Linked DNA regions of Arabidopsis thaliana. The protein of the gene in region 2 interacts with the protein of the main gene of each other region in a pairwise test. Each region holds a gene or a part of one and is shown on either strand. Other genes may lie near its edges.

Region 1 (8,291 bases), about 11 Mb from region 2:
TGCTTGCTGGTGAGATAGCTTTCGGCACAAGCACACTAAAGCGTTTGGTGGATCAGTCCATGAATGATCCTGAAAACTCGAAAACCCAAGTAAAGATTCTTCTTTATCTATCTAGAGAATTATATACCAGTATGACTGTGGTCTCCCTAATTTCAAGTTTTAACCCTGAAAATCAGAAAATGCATCTCCAGATGCTGAACTTTATTAGCATTCCACTTTAAGCCATTTATTTACCTATAAGCATAACTACGGAACTTATTATATGCTGGCATGCAGATCCAGAATCTAGAAAATGATATTCAAGAAAAGCAAAGACAAATGAAATCCTTGGAACAGAGAATAACTGAGAGTGGTGAAGCTTCAATTGCTAATGCATCATCGATTGAGATGCAAGAGGTAACCTAATCTATACATCTTATATTTATGATCCTTTACCCTCTTAAGGTCATTCAGTTGTGGACACAGTGTGGATCAGCTAAAGGTATTACAATTATTTTTGTTGTTTTCAGAAAGTTATGAGATTGATGACACAATGCAATGAGAAGAGCTTTGAGCTGGAGGTAAAATGTCTCTCTAGAATGAAATGTCTTCTTCTATAGCGAATATGGAAGATTTCTCAAGTCAATATATATATTTAAATGTGTTCTACCTATGGATCAGATTATATCAGCAGATAATCGTATTCTCCAAGAACAACTACAGACAAAGGTCACTTCTAAGTCACGGACTCCTTTTATTCTTTTATTCTTTTTTATTTTTCATATACAGCATTTTCTTGTGGCTATTATCTCAGTCATCCTTACTTATATACACATGCTCTAACAACTGCAGTGTACCGAGAACAATGAATTGCACGAAAAGGTGCATCTTCTAGAGCAACGATTATCGAGTCAGAAGGCCACACTGTCTTGTTGTGATGTTGTGACTGAAGAGTATGTAGATGAGCTGAAAAAGAAAGTACAGTCTCAGGTAATTTCTCAAAATCTCAACCAATTTTGTCAAATTTGCGACCATGCATTCTCACAAGTATGCCTGAATCCTGATAAATATCTTCACTGGTTGCGAGGAGATTGTGAAAACACATATAATGATATATATGTTTAATGGACCTCTCATTGTATTTACATGAGCGTTTGATGTTTTCATACTTCAGGAGATTGAGAACGAAAAGTTGAAGCTAGAGCATGTGCAGAGTGTGGAGGAGAAGAGTGGATTACGAGTGCAAAATCAAAAATTAGCTGAAGAAGCTTCATATGCAAAAGAATTGGCCTCTGCAGCTGCTATTGAGCTGAAGAATCTAGCTGATGAAGTTACAAAGCTCTCGCTTCAAAACGCAAAGCTAGAAAAAGAATTAGTAGCTGCAAGAGACTTGGCAGCGGCAGCTCAGAAGCGTAACAACAACTCCATGAACAGCGCAGCGAACCGTAATGGAACAAGGCCAGGGAGAAAGGCAAGGATCTCAGACTCATGGAACCTCAACCAAGAAAATCTCACAATGGAATTGCAGGCAAGGAAACAGCGAGAAGCAGTACTTGAGGCTGCACTAGCTGAGAAAGAATACATAGAAGAAGAGTTTAGGAAAAAAGCTGAAGAAGCAAAGAGAAGAGAAGAGGCCCTTGAAAACGATTTAGCCAACATGTGGGTGCTTGTTGCCAAGTTGAAGAAAGCCAATAGTGGCGCCTTGTCAATACAAAAGAGTGACGAAGCAGAGCCTGCAAAGGAAGATGAAGTGACAGAGTTAGATAATAAGAATGAACAAAATGCAATCTTGAAAGAGAGGCAACTCGTGAATGGACATGAAGAAGTAATAGTTGCCAAGGCTGAAGAGACACCAAAGGAGGAACCTCTTGTTGCTCGTCTTAAGGTAAACCTTTTACAAATTTGCTTTCTATTTTCTTTCAGCATTCTTAGTTTTCTATAAGCCTACTCCACAGTCTAGCGGTAGGCAAATCTAGATATCCATTACCTGTTCGCTCCATATCCTTTATGCCATGACCTTCGGATCAGGCAACATATATTAAAACCTTCAAAACACCCAGAATATATGGTTCAAAATATGTAAATAGCTTTACCTGATCCAATATATTCTAATATCATGTCCTCCTATCTATAATACAAGTGACTGTTACGGATAATTAAGTCAAGCTACTTGTGGGTATTGAATATTTATCTGGTTTTTCGGGGACATGGAACTTGTGTACCCATGTGTGAGCTTCTATCTTGTACGGGTAATGAAAATCATGAATCATCATCTCACACGTTCAAACAATATGAGCTTTAATAAATAAAAAAACTACTTGTTTTCTTGTTCTGCATTTGATGCTTTATATACATAACAGGCAAGAATGCAAGAGATGAAAGAGAAAGAGATGAAATCTCAGGCGGCTGCAGCAGCTAATGCTGATGCAAACTCACATATATGTAAAGTCTGTTTTGAGTCGCCGACCGCCACAATTCTCCTCCCTTGCCGTCATTTCTGCCGTAAGTCTCACTCTCACATTACCTGAGGATCCTTCATTAAGTACTAAGTAATCCTAAAACGATCACAATCTCTCCTTTTATGCAGTCTGTAAATCTTGTTCACTTGCCTGCTCTGAGTGCCCAATCTGCCGAACCAAGATCTCTGATCGCCTGTTCGCCTTCCCGTCTTGACCTGCGGCAAGTATAGTCACTCTCCTACACACAGTATAAGGTAATTCCAATATTTCCCACCTTCACAAAATCTTTAAAATCCAAATTCTTTAGTTCAAAAACATTAGGCAATCTTTTTATTGAAAGACAATTGTATGTGATTTTGCAGGTATAAAGAACTATATGGAAGTCTGTTTGTTTGCTAACATTTTCCAGAACGGCAGGCTCGAATTCTTTTATTACAAGTTGTTTTTTGTTTTCTTGTATGTAATGTCTTTGTTATATCTTTCTGTTCAAAATGTGGTAAAGAAAGAGGAAACATAACATGCTAACAGAAAAATAGGAAACATATCATAGCCGTTTCATAGTAAGTTCAAAATTTGAAGTAAGTAATTAAAAATTATTTTGCTAATTCATGAAATTTGTGTACAGTTTTTTAGAAAAAACATACAGTTGTACAATGGAGAATAGTGTACGAATGCAACAGTGATACACAAGAACACCAAACTACACCAATTATCATCGATGAATTACTGCAAACCACACAAACCTTTGATCTCTTCTAACTTATATTGTAATTTTTAATTTTAATAATAATTTTTACTTAGTTATATCTATGCTAAATTCTTATTTTTTTTTAAGAAATTTAATACATACCGAATTTAATACACCAATAACACATGTAAATATTTTTGGATCAGAGTGGTTGTTACGGCCCAATGGATCTAGTGAGCCTAAATGATACGACCATATATTGTTTTTTTTTCGGTTTTCGCCAACGAGGATTTGGTTACCGAGAGTTTGTTTGAACGGTCCTCAGAAATTCGGAGCTTGTAGCTTCTCGGTGCGGTGCCTTCACTTTAATGGCGGCAATATCCCCTGTTCAATGCTTATTCTCTTGCAATTCTCATCATCATCATCAACAACGCGAGCAGGTGAATCTCTCTGTTCTTATTTCTTCATAATTAGCGAGAACTACCTTCTTCTTGTTATGACTTCATTCCTCCGTTTTTTTCAAGTAGAGTGGGTCGCTTTGGAGATTGGGTTCTAGGGTTTTAGTATCTTCGAGTCTATGGAAGCTTTCTCTGTTCTCTGGACTCCATTTGAACCGAAGGTGATTATGTTCTAGTTAACGATTTCAGTAGGATTTGGCCCTTGAAGCGATGATTCTGTGTAATGCAGTTGGATATGAGATAATTGATTGCAATCTTTTGGGTCTAATAAAACAGGAGAACTTTGATCTGTGCAGTCAAGGGAGATCCAGAAGATGCCTTTAAGAAGACTGTCGAAATCGATCGGATGATTGATGCTCTTAGAGATGCAAACCCTAGACAAGTAAGGAAACATGTCATATGCATCGTATAAATGTTGTGTTTTTGCTCTATTATCTTGAGTAAATTGAGTTTTGTTTTGTTGTTGTTGCCATTTTCATTGAACAGGTTGAGAAGATTGTTGTTGAAAATATCCTTGCTTTTGATGAGGTTTTTTGGATAAGACTAGCAGCTAGGTCGGATACTTGTAAATCAGAAGATGACAAGGCATGAGTTTATATTGTTTATGTCAATGATAGAGCAGACTTTTGATCTCTTTTGTTTCCGCTAATGCTTTGAATACGGTTTGTTTCTTACAGAAGGACTATGAGGAGTTAGCTACAACTGTGATGACTATAGTTGACTGTGTTGTGAATAAGACTCGGGTTTCTCTTTCTTCTGTGGTTTTATTGTCTCTTCTTCTTCAGCGTTTACTTAAACAGGGATAACTGAGAGTTCATTATATCCCTTTAGGAAAAGATAGAGACGTCTACTGATATTCTGAAAGGGATTTTAAGACCTGCTATAGATGGAGTGGAAGAGATTTCATGGCCGCCAAGAGATCCTGAAGCCATCAATCTAATGAAAAAGGTTTATACTAGTTGTTCTTCACTTTCTACTACATCTACACATTTTTTATATATACAACCTATATTCAGAAGGGTTATCTGGTCTTAGATTCTGTGATTTGATATCGTCATGGTTACTGAGATCAGTGTATTAACAGGAAATTATACAACGGGAAAAAGAAGGGCAATTAGATGAAGGATTTCTTTCAGAAGTTAATGCTCAGCTCCGGCAGGTAAGTGCTACAATTTGTTTTGTTTCACTTCTGAGGTCTTTCCTTTACAGTGAATAGATGTATTCTTTTGAATGTTTGAGGCTGACGATTGTTTTCAGGCAAAAGAAGATAAAGACAAACCAGGGTTATTGGCTATGCTGCAAAAAGTTCTTCAACTCTATTCTGCTACTATCCTCTCCAAGCGTAGCTACGCAAAGAAAGGTGATTTGCCCAATTTTGAAAACTATGCCAAGTCACTCTAAACCATTTTCTACGAACATAATCTCATCCACTATAGCTATTGTCACAGGGAACGAAGTTGTAAAAGCCGAGCATTTTCTTGAAACTCTGATCAAAGGTCTGTTCTGCAACCACTTTTCCATGTACTATAGACCCCAGCCAGACTTCACATCGGTTTATTATGTGTGTTTCAGCTCCTGAGGAACAATGGAACAAGCTTTTCGTAGACGGGTTAACAATCGGAAAAGGAGATATCACACCTGATGAGCTATCTGCTGTTATCAAGAAACGAATCGAGCGCACACTGATTCGAACTGTAAGTAACATACCATGACACATTTGCTTGCATTGTTATTATTCTCTTCAGGAGTGAATGCGAGGCTAACCGGGTTTTGGGTTGGGGTTTTAACCAGATATTGTTTTCTAAAATTCATCATTCTAACCACAACTATTCTGATCATACCAGGAAGGGGGTTCATACCAGCAGCGAATTTTGACCGAGTATCTCAAAGGAATCGAGTCCAGGGCTAATGAAATTATGAAATTACTCCAGGGTTAATGTCGTAAATCATGTATTTATCTATACATTTTTGTGTAATATCAGTTCAATAACCCCAATTAATATATTGTTTTCTCTCATGTAATAATTTTTTGATTGAGCATTTGAAGTGTTATCTGATTTAAAAATATGAAGCTCTGTAGTCAAAATTTTACAGATTTTAATTATCTTGGAATAAAAAATGTAAAGTTGATGCTTCCATATAAAATAAAAGTAAAAATGAGTAATTCATGCCAATTAAATTAGCGAGACGCAAATTGGAGACAGAGATAACTGAGCGGAGGGATTCAGATCTATACGACGAAACTGAATCTCACCGTCTTCTTCTTCTTCTTCTTCTTCTAGACGATCCTTGTGTTTCTCTTGCTCTCGCATCCACGCTTCTCTGGTAATGCTACTGATCGTCACCGTGAAGCTGAGCTTGATCGCTTCCCCTTGTGAACTGATCTGATCTGAGGTGAATCTCTATTTCTTCTCCTTCTTCATTGTACGAATCTCGATTTCTCGGATCTTGCTGCTTCTTATCGTTAGATCTGTTTTCAATTTCACGTGGATTACGTTTTTTTTCTTCCTTTTGCGGGTTTTTCGATTTCTTTGAACTGATCTTTCTCCATGATTTTCATTCTCTGTTGATCTGGTTTTTGTAGAGTTGTTTCTGTTTCGTAATCTGTGAATATGCTGACCAAGTTCGAGACCAAGAGTAACCGAGTTAAGGGTCTGAGTTTCCACCCTAAACGACCATGGATTCTCGCGAGTTTACACAGTGGTGTGATCCAGCTCTGGGATTATCGTATGGGTACTTTGATCGACAGATTTGATGAGCACGAAGGACCTGTTCGTGGTGTTCATTTCCACAACTCACAGCCTTTATTCGTCTCTGGAGGTATGCTTTGTTATTGGTAGGCCAATAAGTCTGTTTATTACACTTTCATGATCGATAAATCCTGATCTGCTTAAGTATTAACCCTTAGCTAGTTAGCTTCCTCGGTTCCTAGATCTAGCTTGGTCTCCCAACCTTTGTTTAATGGATGACTTAAGCTCTTATAGTCCCAGCTGGAGTAAATAATTTGTGTTTAAGTTACTTATATAACATATTGGATGATTTGGACCTAGTGCATTGAAACCAGATCTTATGGTACATGTTGCATAGTATTTTATTTGAACATAAGTAAGTACTCAAACAACTAGAAATGCAAATGGCTTGGATTCTTCTTCGTTACAGTTATAATGCTCTTACAGAACATTACTCATATGTAGTTGATGGCATTGATTACATTGGATGTTGCAGGGGATGATTACAAGATTAAAGTTTGGAACTACAAAACTCACAGGTGTCTTTTCACTCTTCTCGGGCATCTTGATTATATCCGCACTGTCCAATTTCACCACGAAAACCCATGGATTGTGAGTGCTAGTGACGATCAGACTATCCGCATTTGGAACTGGCAGTCTAGGACTTGTATTTCCGTGTTGACTGGTCACAATCATTATGTTATGTGTGCTTCTTTCCATCCAAAGGAAGATCTTGTTGTATCAGCATCACTGGATCAGACTGTCCGTGTTTGGGACATTGGTGCTCTTAAGAAGAAGTCAGCATCTCCTGCTGATGACCTCATGCGATTTAGTCAGATGAATTCTGATCTTTTTGGAGGGGTTGACGCTATAGTTAAGTACGTCCTTGAAGGTCATGATAGAGGAGTCAACTGGGCTTCTTTTCATCCCACACTTCCTCTCATTGTCTCTGGTGCCGATGACCGCCAAGTAAAGCTGTGGCGTATGAATGGTATTTCTTATGGATATCTGTCTTCTTCTTCACAGAAAGTTAATTTTATGAATCATTGAGGTACTGATGCGTTTCAATTTTGTTGCAGAAACTAAAGCTTGGGAGGTGGATACATTGCGAGGTCATATGAATAACGTTTCATCCGTTATGTTCCATGCAAAACAGGACATTATCGTGTCAAACTCTGAGGATAAAAGCATCCGTGTCTGGGATGCTACCAAGCGAACTGGAATCCAAACTTTTCGTCGTGAGCATGACCGATTCTGGATTCTTGCAGTTCACCCTGAGATTAATCTACTTGCAGCAGGACATGACAATGGTATGATTGTTTTCAAACTTGAGAGAGAACGTCCTGCATTTGCTTTGAGTGGTGATTCGTTATTCTATGCCAAAGATAGATTTCTGCGGTACTATGAATATTCAACTCAAAAAGATTCCCAAGTTATTCCTATACGGCGTCCTGGTACCCCAAGCTTGAATCAAAGTCCGAGGACTTTATCCTACAGTCCGACAGAAAATGCAGTCTTAATCTGCTCAGATCTGGATGGTGGTTCTTACGAGTTGTACATCATACCGAAAGATAGCGTTGGCAGGAGTGATGTTGTACAAGATGCAAAGAGGGGGACAGGGGGTTCTGCGGTGTTCATTGCTCGAAATCGGTTTGCTGTTCTGGAGAAAAGCACCAGCCAGGTGTTAGTGAAGAATCTAAAGAATGAGGTGGTTAAAAAGAGTTCTTTACCTATTCCCACAGATGCTATCTTTTATGCTGGGACTGGAAATTTGCTTTGTAGATCTGAGGATAAAGTGGTTATATTTGACCTTCAACAAAGGCTTGTTCTTGGTGAGCTTCAGACACCGTTTGTTAGGTACGTTGTTTGGTCTAACGATATGGAGAGTGTTGCTTTGCTCAGCAAACATACTATCATTATTGCGAGCAAAAAACTTGTCCTACAGTGCACGCTTCATGAGACAATACGTGTGAAAAGT
Region 2 (6,186 bases):
TAGAAACAAAGCGAGTAAATGTAAAATAGGCATGATTTTGTGGGTTTACCCCTACAGAAATCGACCACACGCGCTCAACGCGAGGTTCGTGCGAGTGGGCGTGGTCTGGAGCGCGTGACGCGAGATTGGTGCGAGTGGGCGTTGTCTAGTGCACTCTGATTGGCTAAAAAAATGAAAATAGTAGTGATGCTCCTCCTCTATTATTTTGTTTTTCGTCATTCTTCAGTTATGAAAGTTGTGTGGTTTTAAGATGCAATTGAGTTTATTCTGAGGTTTTTGGTTATTTTGAAATCATTGATTAATGTCACCAAAAAAAAATAGAAACTAGATTTTGAGATACTAAAATTTTCATTTTCATTTTGTTCTGCAACCATTGAAAACTAGATTCAGCTGAGCCCCTGAAGAAATCAAAGTGAGTTGAATATATTTCTAAAAATGTGAAAATTGGTAAAAGTTTGTCCTCATTTTGTTAGTTAATGTTTTCTTGACTTTAGGAGATGAACTTTCAACTGCAAAGATCCCATCACACATTAATCTCACTCTCTTCTGCACATTGCATGGTGTGGTGTAGCTATGGTTCCCACACAATTTGTCATATTCATTTACAACAAAGTTCATGAATCATGTTTGAAGTGAATCCTTTTTTTTCAAATTTAGTCATCTCTCGAGGAACTTTAAAGTTAAAAGAATAAGATAAAGCTTCTTGGAAATCTCAGCATTGCACTACCTTTGCTTGCAAATCTAGAATCTGGATTTTAAGATACTTACTCCAACACATATTATTATTACAGGCCGGTGCTTTTGTTCATGTTTGCACCAATGGGACTGTTTTGGTGACACATGGAGGTGTTGAAATGGGTCAAGGATTTGCATAAAAAGGTTGTGTCATTCCCCTTAGTCAGTTTTTGTGTCAGAATCAAGCACATACAAGGTACATCTAACTCGGTTACATGCACTCAGTGGACTTTTTGGCCAAGACAAAACTGATATTGTTCTCTCTTATCTTTTGTGGTCTCTTAATAGGTTCCAAATGCCTCACACACTGTTATTGCTCTCTTGTCGTTTTGATTGCCTCTTAATAGGTTCCTAACGCGTCACCTACTGCTGCTTCTGCGAGCTCTGATATGTATGGTGCTGCAGTTTTAGACGCTGTTGAGCAGATTATAGCTAAATTGGAGCCTGTTGCATCTAAACACAATTTCAACTCCATTCGCTGAGGGTAGCTTTAGAAGAGCTCAAGTGGGGAGATGCAGCTCATACATGGATTTAACCAGGAGCTTTACTCACTTGCAGACCTGGAAACTACAAAATACCTTAAGAAGAAACTTTACTCACAACATTCAGTTTCTCTTCTCAAGGTATGCAACCATAAGAAGAAGCTCTTTGAATTGGTAGCAACAAATTTGAAACTGATGAACCTAAGATTATACTGATGAAACTCATTTTGCTAGTTTAAAGTTTTCAACTTTTCACCAAAGGTAATGAAGTATTTAACTACATAAATCAAACCCAGTAGTATACTAAAAGACATTAGACAAATGAGAGAGACAGCTTCGATTTTCAGACAGCTTTAGGTTGGATTTGTTCGAAGTCGAAAACCTCAAACATGAGCCGCCGAACATCGGGTTTCCCGTAGATGGTGTAGGCGAGGCCGTGAATGGCTTGTTGAACAGCGGTTGTCGCCGGATTCCTAAGTCTCCGGTTATGTTCATACCGATCATGAACCTCCTCTGAGTATATTATAAAGTTGTGAAGACGTTTTTCTCTAAGATACCGGCCGCAGAATTTGTTCATTAATAGACATCTATGCTTCTCTTGCAACCACTTCCCTGGTGCGTCCAAAACGTTCAGCCATTGCTATGTCCTGCATGATCCCAAGACGAAAAATCGGGTTAAAAAAAAGAAAGAAAGAAAAGAACCGTTCTTTTGATCTTTTAAGATGAGAGATCGTTATCCTCACCTGTATCTTCTGTCCTACATATTCCAGCCGCTCAAAACAAAACCGCGGGTGTTCAAACTTATGCTTTGAAGGATGCAAGAAGCAGAGCTGTCACTTAAAATCTCATAGTATTGAGGCCCATTAGTGGCTCAACATGGCCCATTTATACGGGTTTTTTTGATCTGAGATCCAGAAATCAGTCGTTTTACTTGTATCATCGGAAAATGTTTTTTTAACCTCTACCTTCTTCGGTCAAGCTTCTCACGTCCATATCAGCTCCCAGACCGAAATTTATCAATGTCCCCTCCCTCCACCGTCTGGACACAGAGCGGTGGTTGAGGAGCTGTTAGGAGACTGGCGGAGTGTATCGTGGAACCGGAAAAGTAAAGGCCATACTATACTTTGAAAGAGGAAGAGATGATTGTGGTGGAGACTATGAGCAGAGAGATAGTCAGCAACATTTGGATTTGGAATTTTTAGCCAAAACCTATTATTTAGACTCCATTCATTTCTAAACAAAAACGCCTGAATCAATCTAACTCTAGGGTCTATCTTAAAAAAATTATTATGGCGTATAGATTGATATTCTAGTTAACTGCCTACCACTTCAAGTTGAGGGCTAAATCAAGAATGGCTTCAATTTGGCGGATGGTTCGTTGCTTCTCCTGTTGCTTAAACTTAAGTGCTATAGCTTCAGGATCAAGCCCTTCTCCTTTGCTACCAGTTGTAGCGTCTTCCTCTATCCTCACTTCCTGTAGCAGTGCATCCACTTCTCTTACAAAGTCTACTCTCAGAAGGGTGTTGTCTGTCTCAGTCTCAATGGGCGGTCGCAACTGTCCTTGATGCTACAAACACAGCATTGATTCTTGCTGTTGAGAGGTTTTTATCAATAAAAAAAAACAAAAAAGAGAAAAAGGGACGCACCATATCAATGTCGAATCCCGGTGGCATTAGAATGCTGAAGGGGTCTTCTCGGGGGAAGGTCTCAGCCATTCGTTTTCTGCAGTCCTTGAGCCAAGCATCGTCTTCAAAGCCATCATGCATATTTAGAAGATCATTCAGCAGTTTCATTGCAGGACTTGCTTGCCGTTTTAAGATCTCTGTCTGGATAGAGAAACACCCGATATAAGGATTCACTTTCACCTAAAGCTGACTAATACGAGTTGATAATCTTCCTTGACAAATGAGTAAGTTTGAAGATGGTGATATAAAGCATCAGCAGCTCAAGATCTTATAGCATAGAAAAGAATGAAGAGAAACAATTACCTCGACTCTTCTATACAAAAGATCAAGACTTCTGATGGCGTCCTTCTCATCCTGAAAGTAAGCAACACAGGATCTAAGGGAACATTTCATCATGAAAACGCATAACTCACAAGGAAAAAAATGTTACATCGCGCCTAGCAAGGTCAAGCCGGTTCCATATGATCATGAGGACAAGCTCGTCAAGTTCTCCTTTCTCGGCTGCTTCTTCAATTCTCTACAGAAATTGTCTTATACATAATAATAATAATTGCCTGCTTGTATAAGGAAGGAAGGGGACTTTGATTTTTACCTCTTCGACTTCCTCGGCAGCTCTGATGAAGCTGGAGACGAGCTTTCTGGCTTTCCTTAAGTCTTGCTCGGGAAATTCCTTCAACCTCGTGCCAATTTCACGGTATTCTTCAATCTTTCTCTCCTCTTCTTCTTCTTCCTCCCGCTGCATCCGCCGCAGTTCTTTGGTCTTCTCTCTCTGTCGAGCTTGCCATTCCTGGTATCAAAAAACCAACCGACTTAGAAAAAATCAGACTGAGAGACAAAAAAAGGATGAGGAGACGAACATCATCGTAATACTCCGGTGGCATTCCTTCTAGAAGCACTTCATCATTGTTTCCCGAGCATCTTCTTCGGAATTTAGCTGAGACATCGGCAGAGGATCATTTTAGATGAAACAAACTAATTTTGGATTTCACAAATTAAACCCCGCGAAACTGACCTGTAGAAATCGACAACTCTGTAGTCAGCTTCTTCGTAGCAGAAATAACCCGAGGGCTGCTGAATAGAGGGGATGCGCACGTCAGAACCAGCGACGTCGCCGCCATAGTCGAGCTTCGCAGTGAGTGGGAGTGATTTTGTTGCAGCCCCGAATCCCTTAGGCTATCTATATCTATTCGGATTTAGTCTCCCTAGTTTCGGATTTCACAAATTAAACCCCGTGGTGTAGCTTAGTACTAGTAGCTCAATTGAAAAATGTCTCAAAGAAATCTGAAAAATCTTGGCTTCATTTCCTTTCATAATCTAATGTTGTTTCCCCAGTCAGTGTCTGTGACACATAGCGAATCATGTTGCTCTAAATAATAAATATAATATACAATATAGACAAACAAAAAAAAAAAAGAGAGAGCTAATCTCAGGAACAAAAGTGATCATGATCACAGTTTAGATTAGTCGAGAAAAGAAAGTTGAAAGACGTCAAGCTAATGTTGATGGCAAGTCTCCACAATGAGTTCTGTAGCTGCACCCATTGTCCCAAGGCCGCCGGCACAAAGCAGAGCCAGAGCCAAGTCTTGCTCGTTCCACTGCCTCAGACTTTTGCTTAGTCTCTTTATTACTTCAACATCCACCTCTAGCACCCAAGCCGGCGTGCATTGCACCATCAGGCTCACAAAGCCTGTCACGTAAGCTTGCCATGTCGCCCAATCACAGCCCAGTGATATCTTCCCTTCCAAGGCACTCACCATAAACTCCAAATGCAGCCACAGAACCCTTGGCCGACGTTTTGATGCAGGATATGAGGAGTCCACTCCCCAGGCAAATGCACTGCTCAGGATTGCAAAGTAGGCTAAAGCATAGCCTCTTAGCATCGGAACCATACCTCCCAACTCATCTTCTTCTCCGTGAACCGAGATGAACCAAGACGGTAATGTCTCCTTGATCAGTGCCTGAACCAGGTTTAGGCCACCGGAGATCCACACCAGAGAGGCTCCCAGGGAAGCTGCCAGCTTGACACGTCTCATTGCTAAAGAAAGTGAAACCTGCCCAATCCCGTACCTCGACCCATCTTTCGTTTTCTTCAATTTCTCTGCTTGCCCTGCTGGTAGCTCCCTCGTGGCAATGCTCTTCACAGAGAACATCAGAAGAGACAGGATTTCTTCTGTCAGGAACATGACATCTCTGATCGATCTGTGCACTTTTATGTACAAGATTCCTGGGGCAGCTGTGGAAATTCCTCCAGAGTAACGGGACCCAAAGCCATGGCCAAGGAGTGCACCCACTCCCCCATAGCTGCAGAGTTGGGAAGTAGGTGTTAGACCAAGGGTGCAAGTGAAGCAGCTTCTGAGGAGCTGAATAACAGCATCTCTGTTGTGGTGGAACACAGTTCTGGAGGCTGAAAAGATAAGAAAGTCGCTCCAGCGCTTCACTTTCTGGGTCCACAGCGATGTCACAATAGGCATGCAGGGCCAGGGGCAAGCAGCAGCAAGGGAGTCTAAGGCCGGTCCTACAAGTACAAGGAAGCGCTCTGTTGCTTTGTCAAGCTTGTAGGTTATAGTAAGGCTCACTAGTGCAGCGAGAGGCAAGGGAAGTGTAGCCGCAGAGATTCCATCTGCAAAGACAGACGTGTGTAAACTATGAGAGTTTTTTCAGCATAATCATTGTATTCGTTTCTTCCAGCATGTTCTTTTCACACTTTCTCCGCAGTTTCAGTTTTATAGATATCACAATTGTTTACAAATCTAAGCAAGACCCTCCAGGGACATGTTATCCGGGACTGCCATGACTGCATCTAAGGTTCTAATCTTTCATGACAAAACCCCTGGACACCTGAGAATATCCATTATCCTTAGAGAAGAAAAGCATTACCTGCTGGAAGCCTTGGTACGTCAACGCCAGTAGCTGCTAAGATCTTCTCTATCTGTTGCTCAACGCTTGCTAAATTTGCAGCAGGACTAGGCCAGTCAGTTCCGTTCATGGAAACGGGCTTCCACAGACCTCGTGTTACTTCCGAAGAAAAGTAGCTAACCATGGTTCCAAGTGTTGCCGGCAGAAAATCAGCCAAGATTTTAAGACCTGAAACAAATCAAGGGACAGATTAAGATCTCGCCCACCCAACTATTAGCTACCTTCTGAAGTAGCGTTTATGATGCATCCAGACAGTAAGACAATAAAATAGCTTATGATCGTCAGATGTAGGTAAGTATCCCCTTGTCATTAAGCAGATAACACTTTCTATAGTTTCAGGGAATGGACAAACCTGTTGCTAGTTCCCG

The links. Proteins that work in one complex are often made in the same cells at the same time.
Region 1: the proteins of PAC (region 2) and AT2G21385 interact in a two-hybrid assay, tested with the Arabidopsis thaliana proteins (one large-scale study listed by BioGRID).

The regions. Positions count from the first base shown.
Region 1 is NC_003071.7:9,146,232-9,154,522, forward strand, and holds AT2G21385 (uncharacterized protein), read left to right. Parts: upstream 1-3,345; 5' UTR 3,346-3,494; coding exon 3,495-3,566; intron 3,567-3,653; coding exon 3,654-3,745; exon of another isoform or gene 3,746-3,860; coding exon 3,861-3,966; intron 3,967-4,070; coding exon 4,071-4,169; intron 4,170-4,261; coding exon 4,262-4,327; intron 4,328-4,415; coding exon 4,416-4,532; intron 4,533-4,668; coding exon 4,669-4,743; intron 4,744-4,841; coding exon 4,842-4,944; intron 4,945-5,032; coding exon 5,033-5,080; coding exon of another isoform or gene 5,081-5,156; coding exon 5,157-5,278; intron 5,279-5,428; coding exon 5,429-5,521; 3' UTR 5,522-5,739; downstream 5,740-8,291. Other genes in the region: AT2G21380 (Kinesin motor family protein), read left to right, coding at 1-89, 277-396, 510-560, 661-708, 832-969, 1,154-1,864, 2,340-2,481, 2,567-2,652; AT2G21390 (Coatomer, alpha subunit), read left to right, coding at 6,197-6,404, 6,810-7,304, 7,393-8,291.
Region 2 is NC_003071.7:19,677,704-19,683,889, reverse strand, and holds PAC (pale cress protein (PAC)), read right to left. Parts: upstream 4,161-6,186; 5' UTR 4,021-4,160; coding exon 3,915-4,020; intron 3,837-3,914; coding exon 3,760-3,836; intron 3,690-3,759; coding exon 3,495-3,689; intron 3,420-3,494; coding exon 3,333-3,419; intron 3,257-3,332; coding exon 3,206-3,256; intron 3,044-3,205; coding exon 2,864-3,043; intron 2,785-2,863; coding exon 2,539-2,784; 3' UTR 2,344-2,538; downstream 1-2,343. Other genes in the region: AT2G48121 (ribonuclease III family protein), read right to left, coding at 1,561-1,794. UniProt on the Arabidopsis thaliana protein: Required for the differentiation of chloroplast from proplastids or etioplasts, probably by modulating some chloroplast-encoded genes expression and mRNA maturation. Involved in leaf-cells differentiation.